Stegostoma tigrinum: one gene and its partner. The protein of the gene in region 1 interacts with the protein of each later gene in a pairwise test. Links are inferred from orthologs where the notes say so. Each region holds a gene or a part of one and is shown on either strand. Other genes may lie near its edges.

What was found.
Region 2: the proteins of thap7 (region 1) and lurap1 interact in a two-hybrid assay, tested with the Homo sapiens proteins (2 studies listed by BioGRID and IntAct). The two-hybrid records come from large-scale screens. The link is inferred for Stegostoma tigrinum from reciprocal best matches to the Homo sapiens genes THAP7 and LURAP1.

What each region holds. Positions count from the first base shown.
Region 1 is NC_081391.1:26,349,554-26,361,556, reverse strand, and holds the start of thap7 (THAP domain-containing protein 7), read left to right. Parts: upstream 1-6,563; 5' UTR 6,564-6,648; coding exon 6,649-6,700; intron 6,701-6,997; coding exon 6,998-7,088; intron 7,089-7,206; coding exon 7,207-7,362; intron 7,363-8,953; coding exon 8,954-9,073; intron 9,074-9,619; coding exon 9,620-10,325; 3' UTR 10,326-12,003. Other genes in the region: zinc finger and BTB domain-containing protein 20-like, read right to left, coding at 1,091-1,347, 2,421-3,993. UniProt on the Homo sapiens protein: Chromatin-associated, histone tail-binding protein that represses transcription via recruitment of HDAC3 and nuclear hormone receptor corepressors.
Region 2 is NC_081361.1:65,209,553-65,221,945, reverse strand, and holds the start of lurap1 (leucine rich adaptor protein 1), read right to left. Parts: upstream 5,475-12,393; 5' UTR 5,238-5,474; coding exon 5,004-5,237; intron 1-5,003. UniProt on the Homo sapiens protein: Acts as an activator of the canonical NF-kappa-B pathway and drive the production of pro-inflammatory cytokines. Promotes the antigen (Ag)-presenting and priming function of dendritic cells via the canonical NF-kappa-B pathway.

The DNA of each region.
Region 1 (12,003 bases):
AATAAAATGTGAGGCTGGATGAACACAGCAGGCCAAGCAACATCTCAGGAGCACAAAAGCTGACGTTTCGGGCCTAGACCCTTCATCAGAGAGATGCTGCTTGGCCTGCTGTGTTCATCCAGCCTCACATTTTATTATCTTGGAATTCTCCAGCATCTGCAGTTCCCATTATCACTGGCACTGTTAAATGATGCAACTTTAATCAAATTGAGAAGAGGGTGAAAATGGTGAGTGTGACTGAGCAGAAATTTACTCTCAATTGTAATTCCCCTAACACATCAGAACACCACAGTTATCTTATTAATTAACAAAGTAAAAATTCCATGCAATGTTTAAAATATTATGGCATGACTGATTTAGCTAGCTGTTTATTTATTATTTAATTCATGTAGTAAGATAATATAACTTGAGCTTGATCTAATGTGAACAGCTGTCACAATGAGCTATAAAACTAGAGCAGATTCATCAGGACTGCTGTTTGCAAACTCTCAAAAGCTGAGATTATTCTGATAACGCTTTTACTTCACTGATCAATTAGCTTTTGTCAGATTCCTATGCATAATTTAACAGCATCATTCAACTATTTTTTGGAAATGGGTTTGCAGGACATTTACGACCCATGTGCTGCTCCAAGAGACCTGCCCTAACATAAGCCTGGGTTGAAAATACCTGTGTAATATTTCACTGTGAGAGTTAAATCCGATTTTGTCCATACTCAAAATTAACACACAAGAACCTTGGCTAGTTCTCCTCCCATTGGTGTAGATGCCAACTTCGGTATCCTGACTAGGTGAGTTACGTCAACATAGACTGGGAATTAAAATGACTCCTTCTGCTCTCCGTTCACCTGGATGGCACACTCACTGAACAATCTGGGGAGCTTCCTTGCTTTATTTGGGGGTTGGGTGGGGGGGATGTTGCGCTGTATTCTCAACTATCCCATCCTGTGTTTACACCGTTGCTGTATAGCTGATTTATAACTCTGACCACAACCTCCTGGTGTGCATGAAGTGGGTCTGCTCAGTATGCATATTATCCCAGGTAAATCCAGCACATGTGGAATTTACTTGGTTCAGCCTCACACACGTGTTTATATAATGTGGGTGGCCATGTGCCTTTCCAGCAAAGTCTTGTGAGAGAAACGCTTGTTACAGACGTGACATTCGAAAGCCTTCTCACCACGATGCAGCCGCATGTGCACATTCAAGGAGCTCTTCTGTGTGAAACGTTTATTGCACACCGGGCACTGGTACGCTCGCACTCCTGTATGCGTGACCATATGTTTTATCAAGTAGTCCCTAAGCGAGAATGACCGCCAACACACGCTGCATTGATGGGGTTTTTCACCTGCAGAGGTGGGGAGAAATGAGGTCAGTAAATCAGAGAAAAGTGAGACTGCAATGGCAGAAAATGAACATCATTAAAAACCATTCAGTAGGTAATGAACTGATGGCCTAATGTGCGAGAAGCAGCAGACCGTGCACATATTCAGTTTTCATTGCCAACCTGAGCTAAGTAACGGATGCAACAGCATTAGGCGTGGAGGGTGGTGTTGCTCGGCGGTCACCATCAGCATCACAAGGCTAGGGATAAAGGAAAACCAAACAAAATTATTGTTCCTGACCACTGCCTTGTCACTTTGCTGGATATTCGGAGCCTGGTCATTTAAAAAGGTGGCTGGCCAGCCTCCAATATTGCAATATGTCTCAACATCTCCAGGAGAGGAGAAAGCATCGAGTAACTAGTAATAGTGAGCCAGGACTTGACGTACTTGGAGATGGCTTCCAGTTTGATCCTTCTTAAAAATGGCAAATGGCCCAGAACTGGAGAACCAGGCTCCTGCATCCACAGGTCTTTGTTTTCCATAATTGCCAGATCTGTGCTTCCTGGAACTCTCATTCTAGCCATTTCCAGCTCAGCTAACACCCAACCCTTGACATTCCTGCCTGGTCTTCCATTGGCTGATCCAACGAGGATAGCTGCACCACAGCAAAATTTGCAGTAACATATAGGTGCTCCTAGTACATATCACACAGAATTTAAAATAAGTCTTGATGGCGCTCAGAGGGCTCGGGTGCTTTGCTTTCCTGTCAGTGAGGGGATCTGATTCTGAATGTGATGATTGCTTTTCATCTATTGGTATTACATAAAGCCACGGCCATATAAAGCAACAGGTTTAATGATCACGATCAGCCTCATTTTATTCTCACTGAGTTCATTATGGCAAATGACAGCAGTGAAAGTCAAAACCTTTAGGAACTATGCCCCAGTGATAGTCAGCACCTTCAGGGAAGAAATGGAGAAAACTTAAATTAAATCTCTATTTATTCTCCACCAGTCATCCTAGGAATAGCATCTGGGTTAAAGAATGGGATTGAAAGAATGGTTTTAACTAAAATGAACAATGATGATGAACCCACCTGTGTGGACAAACATGTGCTTGGCGTAATTCTGTCTGGAACTGAATGTCTTCCCACACTGTGCACATCCATAGGGCTTCTTTTCGGTTTCACTGGAACTGTGACTGGCCTGAGAGGTAGCTGGGACTGTCTGGCCTCCATCTAGAAACGCAGCCGGGTTTTGGCAAGATGGCTGAGCTGAAATGCTGGGTATACATGTCTGTGAGGTGGACGGCAGAGCTGGAAGGTGAGGTGACTGAGGAACGTTCATCTGGAAGAGGTTTCGGTGACTGGCAGCACTGGCTGCATTATTATCTCCCTGAACATCATACTGCACAGAGCAGCCTTGGTTTCGTGGACTGTTGTGCACAGCTGATGCTGGGAGAAAGTCTTGCATGAATGTTGAAGGCCGTTGGTAGGATGCATCAAGTTGAGACTTGCAGTCTGCTTTTCGGTTTTGTGGTAAGGATGGTTCCTTCTCCTCTTTCTCTCCATGCCAAAAGGACTTCAGTTCCTCAGGTAAGAGATCACTAGCATTGAAAAATTCCAGCTCATCCCCTTTGCCGGTCAAGCTCAAATGACTCGCAGAATCTCTTCGATCCCCCATTGTGCTTTGATTGGGATCAAAGGCATTTGTCTCAGAGATATCCTCAGTTTGCTCACTTTGGTTGATATGCTCAGCAGTTTGATCGGAGACACTTGCACTGGAGATGCTCTCCCCACAGTAAAGGAGATCATCATCTTCTTCCTTGATGGTCACTTGACTTCCATCTGCCATCTGGAGGCGGATTGGCTGGCGCTGCTTGCGACTGTGGCTGCCTTGTGCTAACAATGGCATTTCTGGACGCTGATTGGCTGCAGTGTTGTACCATAGAGCACGTACCTCACTGTTACGGCCAGTGTCCATCAGAGACAGATTCTCCTGGTCAGCAATGGCCTGTTCTCCAACTCCCTTTTGTCGTGTAGATGGAACTTGTCTGCTCAGATTAGGGCTAATTTCTTCAGCTTTGTACCCTGTGTCACTTGTTGCCACGTTCTTTGTACCTCCGCGTACAAAATCAAAGTCTTTCTCTGTTCCATGAGGTGACAATGCCGTTTCAATTAAACCCATAGAAAATTTGTGGATCTGGTCACTGACTGACTGGCAAATAATGGCTTCTTTCTCATCAGAAAGGTCCATCTTTTGGCTGACTAATGGTTGGAGTCCCTGAGTCTTTTGTGAGGCATTTTGCGAAATAATGCGTGTACATTCATCAATGATGGTTTTAATCTGAAGGACACTTGCTGCTGTGAGGATTTGTAGAGCCTCCACGTGAGAGACCATCAGAGAGCCGCTGTACATGAAATCCACCAGCCGCCGTAGAGTCTGGGCTGAGACAAGGGGAGGAACCTCGATCTCGCTGTAACCCAGCAAAAGTTTATCGTGGAAAAAAGGGCTAGCTGCAGCCAGAACGCAGCGGTGTGCTCGAAGAGCTGTGTTGTGGATCCTCACTGTTACATCACAGAAATGGCCACCCAGGCGCTGGGAATTCAGTGTCTCCAGCAGTGACTTGCTAAAGTTTTGGAGGTTGATGCTGTGAAGCTGCTCCGACATCCTGCTCAGTTGCTCTGCACTGCCTGCAAACCAATGGAAAAAGTGAGGATGGGGGAAATGAAGACAGAGAGAGTGTGAGAACAACACGGGGGTTGGAGAAAGGGAAGCGGCTGGTGGTGTCATTCTGGCATATGTAGGTGGGGCTGTCTCCTCCCCTCACAACAGGATTTTGTGCAGGGGAGGGTAATGGTGGTCGTTCCCGTCCCCCTCACACAGCAGTGGGACGGGGGGGGATTGATATTCCCCTCCCCCACACACAGCAGTGGGGCGGGGGGGGGGATTGATATTCCCCTCCCCCACACACAGCAGTGGGGCGGGGATTGATATTCCCCTCCCCCACACACAGCAGTGGGACGGGGGGGATTGATATTCCCCTCCCCCACACACAGCAGTGGGACGGGGGGATTGATATTCCCCTGCCCCACACACAGCAGTGGGACGGGGGGATTGATATTCCCCTCCCCCACACACAGCAGTGGGACGGGGGGATTGATATTCCCCTGCCCCACACACAGCAGTGGGACGGGGGGATTGATATTCCCCTGCCCCACACACAGCAGTGGGACGGGGGGATTGATATTCCCCTCCCCCACACACAGCAGTGGGACGGGGGTATATTCCCCTCCCCCACATACAGCAGTGGGACGGGGGGATATTCCCCTCCCCCACACACAGCAGTGGGACGGGGGGGGGATATTCCCCTCCCCCACACACAGCAGTGGGACGGGGGGGGGGGAGATATTCCCCTCCCCCACATACAGCAGTGGGACGGGGGGATATTCCCCTCCCCCACACACAGCAGTGGGACGGGGGATATTCCCCTCCCCCACATACAGCAGTGGGACGGGGGGATATTCCCCTCCCCCACACACAGCAGTGGGACGGGGGGGGGGATATTCCCCTCCCCCACACACAGCAGTGGGACGGGGGGGGGGATATTCCCCTCCCCCACACACAGCAGTGGGACGGGGGGGGATATTCCCCTCCCCCACACACAGCAGTGGGACGGGGGGGGATATTCCCCTCCCCCACACACAGCAGTGGGACGGGGGGGGGATATTCCCCTCCCCCACACACAGCAGTGGGACGGGGGGGATATTCCCCTCCCCCACACACAGCAGTGGGACGGGGGGGGGATATTCCCCTCCCCCACACACAGCAGTGGGACGGGGGGGATATTCCCCTCCCCCACACACAGCAGTGGGACGGGGGGGGATATTCCCCTCCCCCACACACAGCAGTGGGACGGGGGGGGGATATTCCCCTCCCCCACACACAGCAGTGGGACGGGGGGGATATTCCCCTCCCCCACACACACACACACGTGGGACGGGGGGGTATTGTCGTGATGGAGTTTTTTGGGGGGTGGGGGGGCGTGAACGCTGTCACGTGCTTGCTACTATCGAATCAGCGAGCTGCCGAGGCGAGGCCATTGACCCCTGACCCGCTCCGCTTTCCTTGATGTACTGGAGTAGTCTGCGGGGGGAGGGGGTGGCGGAATTATCGTCAGGGCCTGGGCTGCCTTGGCACCCGCACTCTTTAGGTTGCATTCTGTTGGGCCGGTAGGGTCCCAGGGCCGCGCTCCCTCAGGCGACACTAACCTCCAGTCAGTCTCCAGCCGGGCCTTGCGTCATGGCGCAGCGCGGCGGCGACGTCAAGGCGCAAGGCGGATACCACCGACAACGCCTGTTCCGCATGCGCAACGACATCGCGATCTGGAAAAACGTAGCTGTCTTGATTGAAGCCACCTGAATTTCCTCAGAGTCTTCCCGAATATTTCTGGACCTGAGCTTTCCATTGTCGTGAAGGCAAGAACGCTACCTGCTCCCAATTCCGCCCTGCGTCTGAGTGCCGTGACGTAGGTTTGAGGCTCTTAGGTCGGCCATTTTGGTGAGGTCAACGAGGACAGAGTGAGGGAAGAGGGTTGTTGGGGGAGGGGTGGGAGTAGAGATAATTGGGATATAGGCTTGGGGGTGGTTCCGAGGAGTCGGGTGATGAGGGAACGACAGGAGATTATAGTCATGGGGCAGGGCAGGGTACGGATGGAGGGATAGGGGATGATGGGAGGGGTGTAGGTGGAAAATGGATGGTGTGGGAATGGGGGCCATTATACGAATGATATGGGGTGGAAATGGGAGGGGATTATGGTCAAGAGAGTGATGGGTATGTGGAGGGTGACTTGGATACGATGGATGGGAAGGATTGGGATGGGGAGAAAGGTGATGTGTGGGGATTAGTGGGTGGTGGTGAGTGGGATATAGAAGTGGGAGTAGGGAAGGAAGTAATAGGGATGACTGGAGGAAGAGAAAGTCAGAGGGAGGGTAATTAAGGAGACCCTGGGTGGTGGGAAGGGAATTGCGGTGGGTGTCAGTGTTGGGTAATGAGGAGTGGCGTTAGGAAGAGGGGAATAGGGTATAGGGTGAATTTGGAGGGGGGGATGATGGGGCATTAGAGAAATTGGAAGGGTGAATTGTGAAATGGTGGGATTGAGAGGGGTTGGATTTGGGTAGGGGACTGTGGGGAAGGAAGGGATGAAGCTTGTGGGAACAGGCAAGATGGAATAGGTGAGGTGATGGAGTAAGGCAAAGGTGTGGGGTGGTTGGGAAGGGGAGAAGAGAGTTAAAAGACAGAAAGGAGGGGGTTGGGCTGGCAGAGATGGAGTGGATGATTGAAGAGAAAGGAAAGAAGGGGAATGATAGAGTAGAAGGTAATGAGGAGGGAGAGAGATATTTGTACCAGGGTGAGAAAGAAGAGACAGCTTGGGGTGGGGGGGGAATAAGAGATGGGAGGTGAAGGGTAATTGTAAAGGGAATGGGGTGGGGGGACGGGAGAGGAGAGACTGAGTAGCAGGATTCGTAGGGTTTGCCTGCGGGGAGAGATGGTGCATGCTTCCATTTGGGTGTGTGAATGAATAGATGGTGTGTTTGGGCGCAAGCAAAGAGCGGTTACTGGCTATGGGGTTCAATGTGGTCTGACTCTGGTGAACTCTTCTTATGTCATGCAGGGGTCAGAGCAATGCCCCGACACTGCTCGGCTGAGGGCTGCACATCACGGGACACTAAGGATTCGAGAATTAATGGAGTCACGTTTCACAGGTCAGTGAGACCTCTCCCTATCCTCAGGTTGATTCCCTCAGTGAGGTCTGTTTAATCCCCCACCCAGTCATATTTTACTGTGGTCACGTTCACTTCTCATGAGTTTCATTTTACTTAGGTTGCCCAAGAAGGGAAGACATCAGCGTGAGATCTGGTTGCTGAATTGTTGCCGCAAGAATCCAGATGGGACAGTTCCGTGGGATCCACCGTCGCAGTTCATCTATTTCTGTTCAAAACATTTTGAGAAACACTGTTTTGAGCTTGTGGGGCTGAGGTAATTTGTAGCATCTGTCAAATGTTGGTCCAATATGCCCTGCTTCAACAAATCACTACAGCCCATTAATAATTTGAGTGGCATGGTGGTTCAATGTTTAGCACTGCTACTGCACAGTGCTAGGGATCCTCCAGTTTCTCTCCACAGATCAAAGATGTGCAGGTTTGATGGATTGGCCATGATAAATTGCCCTGAAAGATGTGCAGGCTATAGGTAGGTTGGCCATGGGAAATGCATGGTTATAGGTATAGGGTTGGGGTATTGTGGAATGCCGTTCAGAGCTGTGGTGTAGACTTGATGGGCTGAATGGCCTGCTTCCACAGTGTAGGGATTCTCTGATTCTATTACACACTGCTCCACAGATTACTATGGATTACCAGATCCATGTCTATCAGATCACCAAGACCTGATAGACTCTGGTTTGCCCAATCCCTGGAACATCAGATCAATTGTATCACACCTGTGGGCTGAAGAGTGGTAGATGGAGTGTAATTTGGATAAATGTGAGGTATTGCATTTTGGTAAAATGAACAAAGGCAAGACTTATACGGTTAGAAGTCGGGCTTTGGGTAGGGCTCTAGAACAGAGAGACCGAGGCTTTGACGTTTATGTCACATATAGATAGGATGGTTAAGGTGTTTAAGCATGCTTGCCTTCATTGTTCACACCTTTGAGTATAGGAATTGGGACGTTATGCTGACTCCTTTTCTGGAGTTACGTAATGCAATTTTGGTCTCTCTGTTACATAAAGGAAATTATTAAGTTGGAGAGGGTTCAGAAGATAGTTACCAGGATCTTGCTGGGAATGGAGGGTTTGAGTTTTAAGGAGAGGCTGGATAGACTGGAAATTCTTTCACTGGAGAATAGGAGGTTGAGGGACGACCTTATAGACGTTTATAAAATAATGACAGGCATTGATAAAGTGGATGGTAGGATTTTTTACCCTAGGGTGGGGGAACTTCAAGATTAGCGAGCATATTTTTAAGTTGAGAGGAGACAGATTTAAAAAAAGAGTGGCAATTTTTCCACATAGAGTGGTTCATGTGTGAAATGCACTTCCAGAGAAAGTGGTACACCTTTTAAAAGACATTTAGACAAGTTCATGAATAAGAAGTGTTTGGAGAGATGTGGACCAAGTGCATACGGGTGGAACTAGTTAGTTTGGGATTATGTTTGGCTGGCTGGACAGAAGGGACTGTTTCTGTGCTGTATTACTCAGATCCTTGTCCACATGATCTTTACAGTCTCTTAGATTGCCAAGGTCCATCAGATCCCTTAGCTCATCAGATCTTGGCTCACCTAATCACCACTGTTTATCAGTTCCCAGATCACCTGATCACCAGTCCAACAGATCCCAGTCCGTTCTCCCAAAACATCAGAACATAGTTTGGTGGATCACCCTGGCCTTTCAAATCTGTTGCCTTGTACCATCAGACCCAGGTTCCTCTGATCACTGTGGTCCATCATCACGCAGGTCCAACACATTACAATTGAGGCCAGCTTTATTTCCGGTGGGGTGGGGGGGGGGGGGGGGGGGAGATGTGTGTGTGTGTGGCGGAAATTCACTGCTTTCCTTGTTTTCTTTCCCCAGTCGTTATCACCGCCTGCGAGATGACGCTGTCCCCACATTATTTCAGCCATGTCCTCAAGCAAAGGTGGCGCTGAGTGGGGGACACAATGCAAAATCATTGTCTGTACGCACCAATGAATGGTGAGAAACTTCTGGTGACTGCTTCAGCCGTGTGATTCACAGGATGTATACTGCTTGGAAACCATTTACGCTGTTCACTCGAAATCAATATCTTAACTAAAAATGCTTTTTGTATTTCTTCTATTACTCTGTTCATTGACTCGGTGCAAATGGCTAGTGCATGCTCGGGTGTTAGAGACCAGATAGTTGATGTAGAGACTGCGGTTTCCTGTCAGGGGTAGGTGAGTGCTGCCTGTCTCCAACCACTGGATTAGGGAAGGGACAAGTGAGCCAAGACTCTTAATCTTAAAGTAGTTACCTATTTATGAGATGTTAAATGAGGGCACAGTCAAGCTCATTGTGATGCCATCTCAGTCAAGTATTCAGTAACTACTGCTTGTATGCCAACAATCAGATAATGGTCATTTTGGTTAGGCAGTGAAGAATGAACAGCACTCCAGAGTTCTTGAGAAAAGGGGGAGGAAACTGACATTAAAATATCCACAATTGGTCACTCCCTGTCCTTTTATTAACCTTCAGCTATTTTCCTTCCTATCTATCTAACAGCTTCACTGATGGCAGCGCCTGTTTACCTGCTCCTGATCTCAGGAATGCTGACACTAGCTCAGGGATGGCCTTCAGCATTTCTCAAGATGGTTCTTCCTTTGTTCTGGGTTATTCTGATCCCCAAGAGAGAGTGAGTGAAAGTCTCTGCTTGTATGAACCATCAACTCCTGACATACCACTCTCCATAAACCAGCCGGAGCCAGAAGCCACAACTCCTGCTGTCATTTATCTCATTGAAGTGAATTCACAGTCTGTTGAGTTGGAGGCAGCTGGAAATACAGAGGAAGCCTCCAAGGACATCTCATTGCCTCAGTCTGTCCTTCTGAATGAACAATCACCTGACTGTCAAGTGGAGCTGGATGATGACAGGGACCCTGTCCCCATTGCGTTGTATATGGCTCGCATTCCCAATCCACCTCCCAAACCTGGTGCCTACATTCCTGTTGAGCACAGTTACACTGTAGGCTGCCCACTGGTTTGGAAGATGAAGGCAGAGGCTCTGAAAGAGGCCTTTGAGAAGGTCACCAAGGAGCTCCGGGCCAGCAGGAAGCGGGAGAGTCGTCTGCGGGCACGAATCACGTCCATCTTGAGACCTCAAAATCAAGTGCTTCGAGATGGATGTACTGAATTGGACTTAACTGAGGACTACCAGCCACAGTTTGAAGTATTTGAGGTGCAAGTGGTGGATGAGGCTGTGGACCTGTAGCTACATTTTCTCTCACTCACTTATTTAACCAGTGCTGCTGATTTTTTGCTAAACAAACCAGCAGTAAAATTTGTTGAGGAGAGGAGCGGCAAATGTACGATAGGAGAGTGGCTGGGGAGACGATGTGGGATAGAGGAATGTGAAGCAATGTGGCTGGAGGGAGGTAGAGTGGGGAGTTTTGTTATGGTGAATGGAGGAGATTTTCTAAGCTCCCTCTGACTTGTGTGGAGTGACAGAAATCACACCTCCAAAGTTTGAATTATGAAGAGTTAACTATAATCTGTCGCTAGGTTTTGTGGTGTGAGATGAGGTGAATTCTTGAACATTTTACTGTTTAACGTAAAAGTAAATGTTCTCACTGTGATCTTAATGATTGAGAACATTGGTTGTCGTACAAAATACGAGGGTTCTAAATCATTGGTCTGTGTACCCTCAGTCATTACCTCTGTTCCAGAAGGCCACAAGAAATCGTACCACATTGTTGCAGTTTTTCCATTTGGTTTGCGGAATATTCAACCATGTCTTTCAGCACACAACTAAGCCCAGTCGTGCCTCTTTCAACAGTCACCCCTGTGCATTTTCTGGCATGGATACAGACAGAGAAAAGAAGGACTTTGAACCAGTTTTATTTTTCTTTGTCACCCTTGCCAGCTAACACGCTGGATAGTAAGGCCAATTACAGTCCCCTCGCTCTCTATTTATAGACAAAAAATATTGAAAACAAACTTGCTGCAATGACAGACTGCAGAAGCGATTGCTTGTGTCTCAATATTACCTTGTATCAGTGTTTGTAGATTGGCTGGCTGTCTTGGGATTCTGCCTGTAGGCTATGACTGTTCTCCTTGTTGATTTACCATGGCTTTTAGGAAAGCTCATAATTGTACAAGATAAAGCTGATGTGATTTGGCTCTTTCAAAATGCTCCTGGCCAGCCTCTGATATTCTACCCTCCATAGAGCTAAGGTTCGAAACCCCACTGACCACATCCTCCATCTTGTTAAGCCTCATTGTGTTACTGTGCTGAAAATCAAACCATGCTATCATGAAGTCATCACAAAGTTAAGTGTTTCATGAAAGTACACAAAATTCCCCCAATTTACCTGTCTCATAATCCCAGTTTTCTGCACTTAGGAGGAATTACTCTTTATTAAAACTGAATAGATTCTAGCTACAGACAAACAATTTTATGTACTGGTGACCTACCTCTACTTCTTAAAACTCTAACCCTGCCTTATAAACTGTTCTCCCCACCACATAGATCTATACAGATACAAACGTGGAGGAAAAGATGTGTTATGGGTGGAGCAAATGACTAGGAAAGTAGTTCAATGGTTCCTGTTCACAGGGTTTGCTAAGATTGTTATTTTGGCTTGTCAGGACATCCCCATAACTCTCGATTATTGGTGCTCCTGTAATTCTATCATCTTGAACATCCTCAATTTAATTGCTCACCATTTACTGTTGTATCTTCAGCTGCTTGCATCCTGAGCTCTGGAATTCCCCTTTACACTTTTCTTGTTCGTTCATCCTTTATGACAGAGGGGAGATGGTCAAAAGCTTGATCACTAACATCTCCTGATGTGGATCAGTGTCCAATTTTGCTTTATTATGCTTTTGTGAGCACCGTGAGATACTTTTTGATGTTATAGGTGTTGTATAAACACATGTAGTTGTAGGTC
Region 2 (12,393 bases), on another chromosome or scaffold:
ATCTCCATAATGCTTGGTCACTATCGCCCATATCTTCATCAATAGTCATAGTGGTTGGCCCCTGGTTGACAATTATGGTGGTGTCAGCTATGAAGCGAATGATCATAGTACGTAGGGGTGGTAATGAACATTTAAGCTAATATAGAAAACAAACTTTCTGCTATAAAGAGTCAGATACCAAGGTTCCTGTGGGATCACACATTGATCCTTCTGATGTTGTCAACCTCCACATCTCTTATAACTGACTACACAGTGATACACCACAAAATGCTTTGCTCCTACAAGCCACTAATATCTGGGGGTAATAAAATGTGAGGCTGGATGAACACAGCAGGCCAAGCCCATCTGGGGGTGGTCAGGATTTTCCCCCACGGCCAGGCTGTACTGCTTTGTAAACCTTTACTGTCCCATAATGCTTTTGTTCGCTAAACCAGCATAATTTCAACAACTATCTGCTCTCCACTCTAAGAACATTCCAATTCGATGGAACACAAGCACTGATGATAGGTTCACTGTTGTTAATGACCTTGCCTGTCAGCTAATGAATTTCCAGCTGTTACACTGCCCATTTATCCATCACCTACATGTTCACTGACTCACAATGGCACCCAGTTAAAGGATAACCTCAAATTCTCATCCTTTTATTCAATTCCCTCCAAGGCCTTGACTCTGTAAGACAGCAGTGCTCCTCCAATTCTATTCTCTTGCACATCTCCAATTTTAATTGTTCCATGATTGGTGGCCACACTTTCAGTTGCTAATAGTTCTAAACATTGGAACTCCCTCCATAATCTCTCCCTTCTCTCCTGTTTCCCTCCTGAAGAATTAGTTCTGATAAAGCATTTGATCATCTGACCTAATATTTCCTTATGAAGCTCACTGTCACAGTTTGTCTGATAATGTTCCTACAAAGAACCATTTCACAACAATAAAAGTACTACACAAGTGCAGGTTTTTGTTCTTGTCACAGAGGAACATAAATCAGGAATGTAAAATGGACCTGGTTATGTCATTTAAAACCAAAAATGATGCAGACTATGCATTCACCATTCAGTCACAATGGTATATGAGTTAGCTCCACCATGTGGTAAACTTCTTCCCACACAAAGAGGCCCAACAATCTCAGAATCTGAATGTGAATTATTATTGCACTGCGGTTGAAATAACTGCACTTCGAAATAAGCTGTTCAATCACACTTCAAGAATTCACAGGATTGAAATACATGAAATCTCTAGTTTACTGATAGAAAATTAAAATTTCCTTTCTGGAAGAGATCAAAACCAAAAAAAACTACAACGTCATTGACATCAGTCACTCTCTGGCAAGTCATTCAATTGGCCATTCAAGTATAAGCAATATGGGGCTGTTGGAGATGAGAACCCAGGATGCTTTTTACCCTCCTTACCCATGTGAAGTGGAGGCCTATTTTTACTTGTCATAACTGGTATCATGACGCAGCTCATTTTGACAGCATCTTTGGATGTGAAATTAATTGGCTCAGCTTCAGCAAAAGGGGAAGAAAAGAACTGGTTTGCTTTGGAGTTACATGTAGCTTCCTCCTGTTTACTTTCCTTGTGTTACAAATACAAGTGTTACATGGTTTTAAACTACTGACATTGAAACACCGATACCCAAAAATACACAGATGTGTTTCACTGTTCAATCTAAATTTCCCAAATTTCTCTCTCAAAGATAGCTGAAATTCAATGTCAAAAATGAAGTTTTAACCTGTCTATTTGGTAACAGTTTGTGCTACGCACAATATCTGTATATGCATTGAATAATAGCAATTTTGATAAGCAGTTTCTATTCACATCTCAGGACACTAATTTTTTTTTGAAGGGGCAACACTCCTGAGCATTAGGAAGAAGGTTTTAGAACATAAATTTGTAATTAAATCATTTCTCACTTTGGAATAAAGGGGGAAAATCTTTTGAATGCCTTTTCAGTTGGCAACACAGAAGTAATTGTTTCTATAATATCATTTGCCTTTATTCTATGGAATCTACACCAGTTTGTTTGCAATCTGTCAGGGGCAAGGATATGAACCTGTATGATGCGCAAACATTGAATCTTTTCTTTTCCCCAAGTCACACCGAGCAATTTGGATAATGCGGGTAGGACACCGTCTGAATGCAGTGGCATAATCTTTTTGGCATGGATTAGTTAACAGGTTTTATAATAACCTGATACAAATTGTGGCAGTCTCTTCGAGTCTATCATTTTGTCTAGGATGCTTATACTCCAGTGTAAACTCTCTCTCGGAGCTGTTCCTCTCCATCACTAAACCTCCCATTACCCAAAGTTAGTACATTCACCCGACCCTGGATCAAGGCTCAGCAGATCTGAGGCCGCAAACCCATATTCCTACCTACACACGGACCCTACCGCACCTTCCTCAATATGCTGCTGCATCCTTTGGCTAGGAGAACCACTAACCAATCCTCTGAACCCAAACTCTCTCATACTCAGCCTAGAACCTGGAAAATTAACCCCTTTCAAACTCACTCACTTACAGATTTCCGTCTATGAACAAAATGTTGCATCCCCTGTTGGTCAAAATCTAATACAACAAATACAGTCTAATTATAAAATGCATGGACTAAGTCAGAACCATCAGTATCACTAACAGTAGCAACAAATCTGGAGAAATACTCGAAGCTGTTTTGCATCTTCTGCAGGCCAGTCACCCACTTACAGCCAAATATTTTAGCATTACCTGCACCCTGCCATGTTTGTAGATTCTTAACAATACTGCACACTACAGCCCACCATCTCCCCACAAGTCAATAGGAAATCCTGACTAGGAATGCCACCAGTTCTAATACTCTAGCATAAAGATCTATGCAATCATAGAAATATCTCAAACCCCTAAATTTGCAATATGTCAGGAGTATATTATAGCATACACTGTGTACTCAAACTTGTTTTACTTGCATAATTTTCAAGGATATGGGCACTGTACAGGAGAATGGCCAATTCCTGCTCCAATGTTCCTATAAAAGGGTATATTCTTAAGAATAGGAATGTTAAATTTCTAAGACTGAAGGAGGAATGGGTAAATATCCCACTTCACTTCTCCCATGTCCCCAATATTTTTGGATCCATCAACCTCTGAAACCCATTGTTTTTGAACCTACAAATTCTCTTTCATTTCTAAAGACTGCTTCACTTGACATAATTAGCTGTATCAGAAATAACCTGCTCATATACTGTAGAAATATTACAAAGCAGATGAATATTGGATAGGGGATTATACAATTTGAGTGATTGGAATTGTAAGACAAAAACTGAAGAATGCATAGTTGCCACGTCAAAAGGTAATGTTCATTTACAGCTCATTCAAACATATCCTGTGCTCCTGCACATCAGACACCACCAGTCTTATCAGAGCACAATGTATTTAGTTTGAACAAAATCAGCATTGGTAAGAACACATCTAAAATACTACATACAGCTTTGCTTTCTTATTGGGGAAGGTTTATATTCACATTGGATGAAGTTTAGAAAGTTCAGAGTCACCTGGGATGAACCCATTCTTTACCCAGCAAAGGGAACAGGTTGGACCCTACTCCTTACAGTTTAGAAGGCTTTGAATCCTCTATGTTTCAATTAGATTCTAAGTGTGCCTGACAAGGCAAATCCTAGGAGAACGTTTCCCTTTGTGGGGAGAATCTAGAACAAAGAATAAGGGGTTTCAAAACAGAGAAGGAATTTCTTTTCTCTCAGAGGGCTCTTAATCGTTGGAACGGGAAACTGGGTTGTTGAATTTAATCACGGTTGTTAGAAATACCTTTGATCCTCAAGAAAATCAGGATTATAGGGGGTGCGGGGAGGGGAAGATTCTGAGTTGAGGCCACGGTAAAAAATTAGCCATAATCTTATGATGGAAGGTTCACGAGGCCAAATGGTCTACACCTGTTACTATTTCTTACGCCTTTATTCGCAACGTTAGCATAAATCTTCAGTGAAATTTGCAGTGGGAGGGACCGATCGTATGGACAAAGCGACCCCCAGAGACAAAACAGGTGGAGTAGGAAATTATAACTTGACAAATCGCAATGGGAAAGTTAAGTAACTTGTATATAAAATAAGCAAAGGCTCCAGTACTGGCGTTAGTTCTGACCTTGAGTGGAAGTTGATCCTAGAGACGAGATAGATACAGGAATCAATTCCGAGTGTCTATGGGTTACTCAGATTAGGGCGTGGTTTAGCCTCAAAAGTCGCGAATTGCTAACTGACAATCAGAGATCCTCGCCAATTTAATGCAGAATGGATTCTTCTCAGAGCTAACTCAGATCACTTATTCATGCACCTGACCTTTTATTTTGCATCAGCCAGCAACATTAATTTACTTGAAATGAAGCGTTAACTCAAATATCTATTCAAACGTCGTTGTAAACTGACTCAGTGTTTCAACAAAAAAAGACAAAAGTCACATTTGAAGCAGTTAATTATTAACTGAAATGTTGTGGAAAATGTTGATTCAATAGGAAACAAGTCCCATTACCTCAACAAGTTTTCAAACTATTGCACAGCGGAGAGAGCAAAGACCCCTCCTCAGAGTCAAGTACAGAAGCTTGTGACTTGGGTCCCGACACTGTTCCCAATCCTGAAGGGAGTATTTCCTTTAACCTGATAAAGGAACAATTTCTTAAAATCAGTCTAAGTGAGTTTAGTTTTAAAAATGAAAGACTAGGTGTGAGATCATTTCGTAACATTCAGTGAAGGGGTTAATGTGAAGATTTCTCAGGTGAGATCCGCCTGGGGGTCACAATTGTTTGCTAAATGCAGCCGGTCAATGCCGGGAGCACTTCCGTAGGATTTAGGCAGAGCTCCCGACAATATAAGTATCGAACATCTACTTATTGCAACCTCCATAGGAACGGCGTTGCTGGCGGAAATGAGATAGTCATACGCTACAGCCGACTCGCCCAGAATTTACCTGCAGACGCCAAGCTGTAACGTTTTTTTTAAAAAAATCAACACCCTACCCCCTCACCATTTCCAGCCGGAGCATTCGGATCTTCTCGGCCAGCCCCTGGGGCAGCTTCTTGTTCTGCCCAGGGAACAGCGCCGCCTGGTCCCCGCTCGGCCCAGCAGTGTCCACCTTCTCCCCGGCTAGCCGCGCTGCGTCCTCCCGCAACCACCGCAGCAAGCCTTCTGGCGTCTTACGTCCAACCTTATTTTCCAGATCCTTCAGATCCGGCAACAATTCGCTCGCACTATCTTCCATGACAAGATCTATGAATCGATGTGTTGGTCCAAAGGGATTCAGTCCGGTTAAAACCAAGCAGACTAGCTCTGTTCCCCACCAGGCACCCTCCCTAGGATACACATTTCCCTACTGAGCCTCTGTCTTCCCCGGCCCCGGCGCCGCTTCACACCAATTTCCACCTGCAGGCATCGCTGAATGAATGAATGAAGAGACTGCGGCGAAGACAGCTCCGGCTCTGTCACCCGACCCTCTCTACCGTAATGGAAAGAAACAAAGCGCCACTCAAAACCTACCCCCGCTCACGCTGCCCTGGCCTTGTGCTATTCCCCAGTGTTCGGAGGAGACAAAAACGGAACTCCGCCGTCAATCCAACTGCCGTTCCAGTCCCAATGTCACCACTAAACCTTCTTCCTTTCCACTTTGTGAGTGAATGCAGCACAAGGGCATATGAAAAGGATACAGCCACCAACAGTTCGCAGATTTCAGGTTGCAGAGCAGGAGGCCATTCAGCCCTTCACGTCTGAACCGGATTTTCTAAGGAATGTCTAATACGGTACTATCTCTCCGTAATCCCGCATGTTATTGATCAGATAGCTGTCTGATTCCCTGTTGAATACCTTGGTTGAATTTATCTTCATCAAATTCTCAAGCAAAATTCGAGAGCCTGCCTGCTCGTGAAAGTACCTTGACTTTTTTTTCCCAGTTAACCTAAAACTGTGTCCTCTGTCTCTTCGCAAGCGGCAACATTTTCTCACTGCTTACTCCGTCCAGACCTCACGATTTTGAATGCTTCCAATCAAACCTCCTCTCAACTTCTCCAAAGGAAAACAGTCCTTACTTCTCCAATCTATCTTTTTTTTCTGCACCTTCCCCAGTGCACGCACACAGCCTTTCTAATATGCAGCGTTCAGACCTGGACACAGGGCTCTAGCTGAGTCAGAAAAAGCATCTCTGCAACTGATCCCTCACACTCTGTTCCCACAATAACCGCCGAAACAGAATCCCCCTCCTCCTCACATACCACCCCACCAACCTCTGGATACAACGCATCATCCTCCAACACTTCCGCCGTCTGCCATCCGACCCCAACATTTTCCAGATATTTTCCATCCCTACCCTTGTCTGCTTTCCAGAGAGCCCACTCTCTCCGGGACTCCCTTGTACGCTCCATACTCCCCTCCAACCCCACCACTCCTGGAACTTACCTCTGCAACCACAGGAAGTGCTACACTTGCCCCACACCTCCTCCCTCCACCCCCATCCCAGGCCCCAAGAAGACTTTCCACATCAAGCAGATTTTCACCTGCACATCCGCCAATGTGGTGTACTGCATCCGCTGTACCCAGTGTGGCTCCTTCTACACTGGGGAGAGGCTTGGGGACCGCTTCGCAGAACACCTACGCTCGGTTCGCAGTAAACAACTGCACCTCCCAGTCGCAAACCATTTTAACTCCCCCTCCCATTCCTTAGACAACATGTCCATCTTGGGCCTCCTGCAGTGCCACAATGATGCCACCCAAAGGTTGCAGGAACAGCAACTCATATTCCGCTTGGGAACCCTGCAGACTAATGGTATCAGTGTGGATTTCACAAGCTTCAAAATCTTCCCTCCCCCCACTGCATCCCAAAACCAGCCCACCTTATCCCCACCTCCCTAACCTGTTCTTCATCTCACCTATCCCCTCCTCTCACCTCAAGCCAGACCCCCATTTCCTACCTGCTAACCTCATCCCGCCCCCTTGACCAGTCCATCCTCCCCGGACTGACCTATCCCCTCCCTACCTCCCCACCTACACTCACCTTTAATGGCTCCATCCCTGCTCTTTAACTTTTCTGTCTCCTCTCCACGTATCTTCTCCTCTATCCATCTTCGATTCGCCTCCCCCTCTCTCCCTATTTATTTCAGAACCCTCACCCCATCCCCCTCTCTGATGAAGGGTCCAGGCCCGAAACGTCAGCTCTTGTGCTCCTAAGATGCTGTTTGGCCTGCTGTGTTCACCCAGTTCCACACTTTGTTATCTCATACAAGTTTTGGGTCCCTTTAGATAAAGCCCAGGATAGCTTTATTATCGGTTCTGCTATCTTTAATGAACATGCACATTCCGTTTAGAGTTGTACCCTTTATATTTTCTCTCCTTGTTCTTCCTGCCAAAACCTTTAACTTCCCTGCATTGGACTTCATTGATTGCCGCCTCTGTCTATTCCTCAATGTTTCTATGTCCTTCTGAGGTTCACTACAATACTCCTCTCAATGAACCATGCATCCAAGTATCATATCATCAGCAATTTTTGAAAGTGTGCTCTTTGCACAAAGATCAAGATCATTAATATGTGTCAAGGAAACCTGGGGAATCCAACAGTGCAAACTATGGCCAGCCTGGAACTCATCCATTAAAAATTTCCCTTTGTTTCATATTACTCAAAATTATTGTATTCATATTGATACTGTGTCATTCGTTGAGATCTAACTTTCTTCACAAGTCTGTTGTTTGAACTGTCTCTTCTAGAAGTCATGTATACTACATAAACTGCATTGCCCTCAAGAACCGTCTGTTACTACTTTTAAAAAAATCAGCAAGTTAGTCAGACATGTTGTGCTCTTGAGAAATTCCCTTAAAGTGCCACTCAAAACAGTGGTTGCCTCAGGATTGCAGTGGGCTTTTACCGGAGGATTGATAAGGAATCCTTTCCAGCCAGGTTACAGGGCTGGGATGAGATTGCCAGGAAGGAAGAGGTTGACAATGGCTGGGTCGTGGCTTCTTATGAGTACACCCTCCCTACCCTTTCCAATTTCAGGTCTCTCAATCCGTCACAGGATAGGCTTACAATGAGGGCCCCTGTGGTATGTCTCATCCGCCACAGAAAGCAAAACCTGAAACTGATTGACTAACAACAGTGTCAGGATGAAGCCATTAAGTTGCTCCAAAATAGCTACTTAAGATCCTCAACTGGTGTCCAAGAGGAATGGCCAACTTCAGACATTCTTGGACTTCAGTGGAGAGAGGTAGGAAGGTGGTGGAAACTCAACCCCTCCCACCTGATCATATGGATGTTCTCTCCTCCCTCTCACATTCTTTCTCCCCTCCCCATCAATCTACTTTACTCCTCCCCCTACTGCTTCTGCCATGTTCAACCTTCTCTCTCATCCCCTTCCATTCCCATTCCTGTCTTACACGTGACTCCAGACCCACAGCAAGGTGATTGATTCTTAACTGCCTACTGATATGGCCCAGCACACCTCTTAGTTCAAGGGCAATCAGGGATGCTCAACGAATGGTGGCCTTTTCAGGGAAGTCCCTGTCCCGTGAGAGGAAAATGGGCATGGAATGATACAGTATAGAAGAACATCATTTGACTCATCATTCTTATACCAAAGTGAAGCTATTCAGTTTATCTCATTCTTCTGCTCTTTTCCAAACATTTTCCCTTCAAATGTTCACCAAATATCCTTTTGATTGTTTACTATTGAATTAATTTTCACCATTCTCTCAAGTGATGCACTCCAGGGCTCCACTCACTTACTACCTATGATTAATGATGAACAGAATTTGGAATCCACTAAGTGGAACTATGTAACATCTGAGTCAGACAATGGAGCTGGCACAATGACACAGAGGCTATTGTCAAGCATTACAGCTTCTAAAATTAATGAATAGTATAACTAACCTCAAAGTACTATTCATTAGATGCAGGTTTTACACAAACTCTGTTCGTTAATTTTGTGTAAATATTGAAATATAAATATTGAACCCTAAATCATTGTTGATGCATTCACCGAAACATATAAGACAATGGGCTTTAGGCTAAACATCCGAAAGACAAAGGTCCTCTGCCAGCTTGTTCCCATTGTACAGGACTGTCACTAGAACTAAACTCAACCCTAATGTGACGGTCAAGATCTATGGCTAGCCTCTGGACAATATGAATCACTGCTTCACTGGAACAAAGATTAAGAGAAAATTCAACATCACCTCCAGTATGCCAGCACAGCCTTTAGACACCTGAGAAACTGAGAGTTTGTTAAGAAAGACTTCAAATCTGACATTGAGTTCATCGTCTGTGGCAGCAATATTACTTACATTCCTGTGCGCTTCAGAAATATGGACAAGGCACAACATACATCTCAAATCTTTAGTGAAATTTAACCAATGGTGACTTCACAAAATCCTGCAAACCAGTGCCACCAGAGGCAGTCCAAAGAGCACAAAATGAGATTTGATATTTGAGATGTCGAGATGCTGAGCTTTTCCAGCAACTTTGTTTTCGTTCCTTTCGTCTTCAGCTGCTTCATCAATGATTTTTTCCTTTATCATAAGGTCAAAAGCAGCAAAGTTCACTGGTGATTGGACAATGTTTGACATGATTTGTGATTATCCCAGGTACTGAAACAGTTGTGCCCAAATGAGCAAGATCTGGACAATATTGAGGCTTGGCCTGACAGGTGGCAAGTAACATTTGTGTTATATAAGTGCCGGGCAAGACACGAGAGAATATGATCATTGCTCCTTGACATTCAATGGCATTACTATCACTGAATTTGTCACTATCAATGAATTTGTCACTGTCAACATCCTCGGATTACCATTGACCAGACATTGAACTGAACCAGCTGTGCAAGCATTGTGACAAAGGCTAAGAATTCTGCAGTGAATGCCACACATTTTGGGTTCTCAAAGTTCCTCTCCAGCTGACACATCATCTTTTTGCTGCTATTTTGTGAAGGATAAATCAGAGTTAATATTTCGGGTCCGGTGACCCTTCCTCAGAACTGAAGATGATTGGGCCTAGGACACGGCCCTGAGGAATTCCTGCTGCAATATCCTGTGACTGAGATGACTGACCTCCAACAACCATAACTATCATCTTTTGCACTATATATGACTTCAATCAGTGGAGAGTTTCCCCTTGAATTCCTGTTAATTTCAGTTTCAGTGGGTTCAAGGACTCAATGGTCCACACTCTATCAAGTGCTGACTTGATATCAAGGGCAGTGACCCTCTCTTTCCCTGTTGAGTTCAGCTCTTTAGACCATGTTTGGACCAAGGCTACAATGAGTCAAGAGCTGAGTGGATCTGGCAGAAATCAATATCAGTGTCAGCCAGCAGTCTGTTGTTGATTAACTGGCACTTGATAGTACTGTCAACTATACTGTCTATTATTTTATTAATGATTGAAAGTAGGCCATTGGAGTGGTAACTGATTGGGTTGGATTTGTCCTGATTTTTGTGTACAAGACATAACTGGACAATTTTCCATACCGTAGGTAAATGCCAGTGTTGCAATTGGATAGGAACAACTTGTCTAAGGACATATCTAGTTTGGGCATAAGTCTTCAGTATGATCGCTGGAATATTTTCAGGGCCCATTGCCTTTGCAGTACCCAGCAACTCCCAGTTGTAATTTGATGTCATATAGGGTGAATCAAATTGGCTGTAGGTTGGTATCTAGAATGCTGGGAATCACAGGAGGAAACTGAGATGGACGTCAACGCTTGTTTACAGAGTGATACACAAAAATGAATTGGTGGCTTTTAACTCAGACTACCACAGCCATTCATGAATTCCACAGCCATTCGTGAATTTATTGTCCAAAAATGTTATCAAACTCTATTCAGGATCTTCACTTGCATAAATATTAGGCTCGTTGCTGTATTTCACAGAGACAAGTTTTCTCCAAAAAATAACGAATCAATTTCGACTGCACTGCTTTAATAACATGGATTCTGCATCTTGGTATACAAATTTAATATTTTTGTAAACTTTTCACCAGTATTTAACTTTTGGTGAATGCAAATTATTGTTCAGCTTATAATTCTTTTCCTTAATTTCACAACCTTGAACATCAAGCACTTCCTTTCTAAAATACAGATTTATGCTCAAAAGCAAATTTTCATAAGTTTGCTTTAAAACTGTTTAAAACTGTAGGGATAAGTATTAATTTAGTACTAATGGTCAAGGGGTTTTTTTTTTGGTCTGGAATTGATTAAATTGCACAATTCTAATGACTTACTGCATAGCCTAAAATATTTGCACTGATCCATCAGTAATTTAATGGATCTATTCACTGACAAAAATCTTTGCTGGTGTCAGCCAAACAGCATATCAAAATCTTTTGTATCACACATGTTGGGTCTTCAGAGAACTACTGAAAGATGATGGTCATCCTGCCAAGAAAATAAATGTATAATTACTTCGATAAAATGCTAAAAGGAGGAAATAGTTTACATTTTATATTCTTATTGCCTTTGTGACATTTATAATAACTTTATCCTGTGAGAGACAAAACCTGCCTCTAAAATAGTGGAATATCTTCCTAGAGAGTCACTACTATTTTTATAGACAATGTTAAGTGTCTGAAGGATGAGAAGCTGTCTGTCTGTACTCTCTCTCATTTCCAGTTATTCCATTTCCATTATTTACCACATCTTCTCTATTCATTACAACTTAGTGGTATTCTTCACCTTGGATTCCCAATAAAAGAATGTCATTAATACTGTTAAAGAGCTTTCAGTTACATACAAAACTTAATGTTGCAATTGTTTGTGATTTTATGAAACACAGCTCCCTTAAAACTTAGTATTTTAATTGTTTTTGTTCAGTGAGAAAGTTAATCCAAACATCTGAATTTTTAAAACTGAGATCTGATACCTATGAAGTTTAGTTCTCAATGTGGTTTTGTAATTAGGAAGATACTGGTGCATAGAAAATTATTTATTACACGCAAAGACTGTGTTAATTGTGTATGACGTCAAGATGCACATTTTACTTTGCCAGTAGAATACTGACCTCTAGTGAGCTTTTGTGAAAAGCACTGATGTGTTCCACAAGATGTCACCCTTTAGCGATTGAGACAAAATTTGTCATCTGAAGAATGAGTATGCATAAGTCCAAGATGTGAAGTCAATAATGATATACTTGCACCTATTCTTCAAAGAAAAACTAGAAATGAAATTGGGAATAGGACATTTGGCTCTCTGAGCCTACTACACTATTCAATCAGATCAGGGCGGATCTATCTGCCTTGAGCACCACCTTCCTGCACAAGCCATGATACCCTTGTTGATCAAAAATCTGCCTAACTCAGCCATGAATGTATTCAATAACATAGCCTCCAATTCACTCTGTGATAGAGAATTCCACATATTAATAGCCATCTGAGAGAAGAAATTTATACC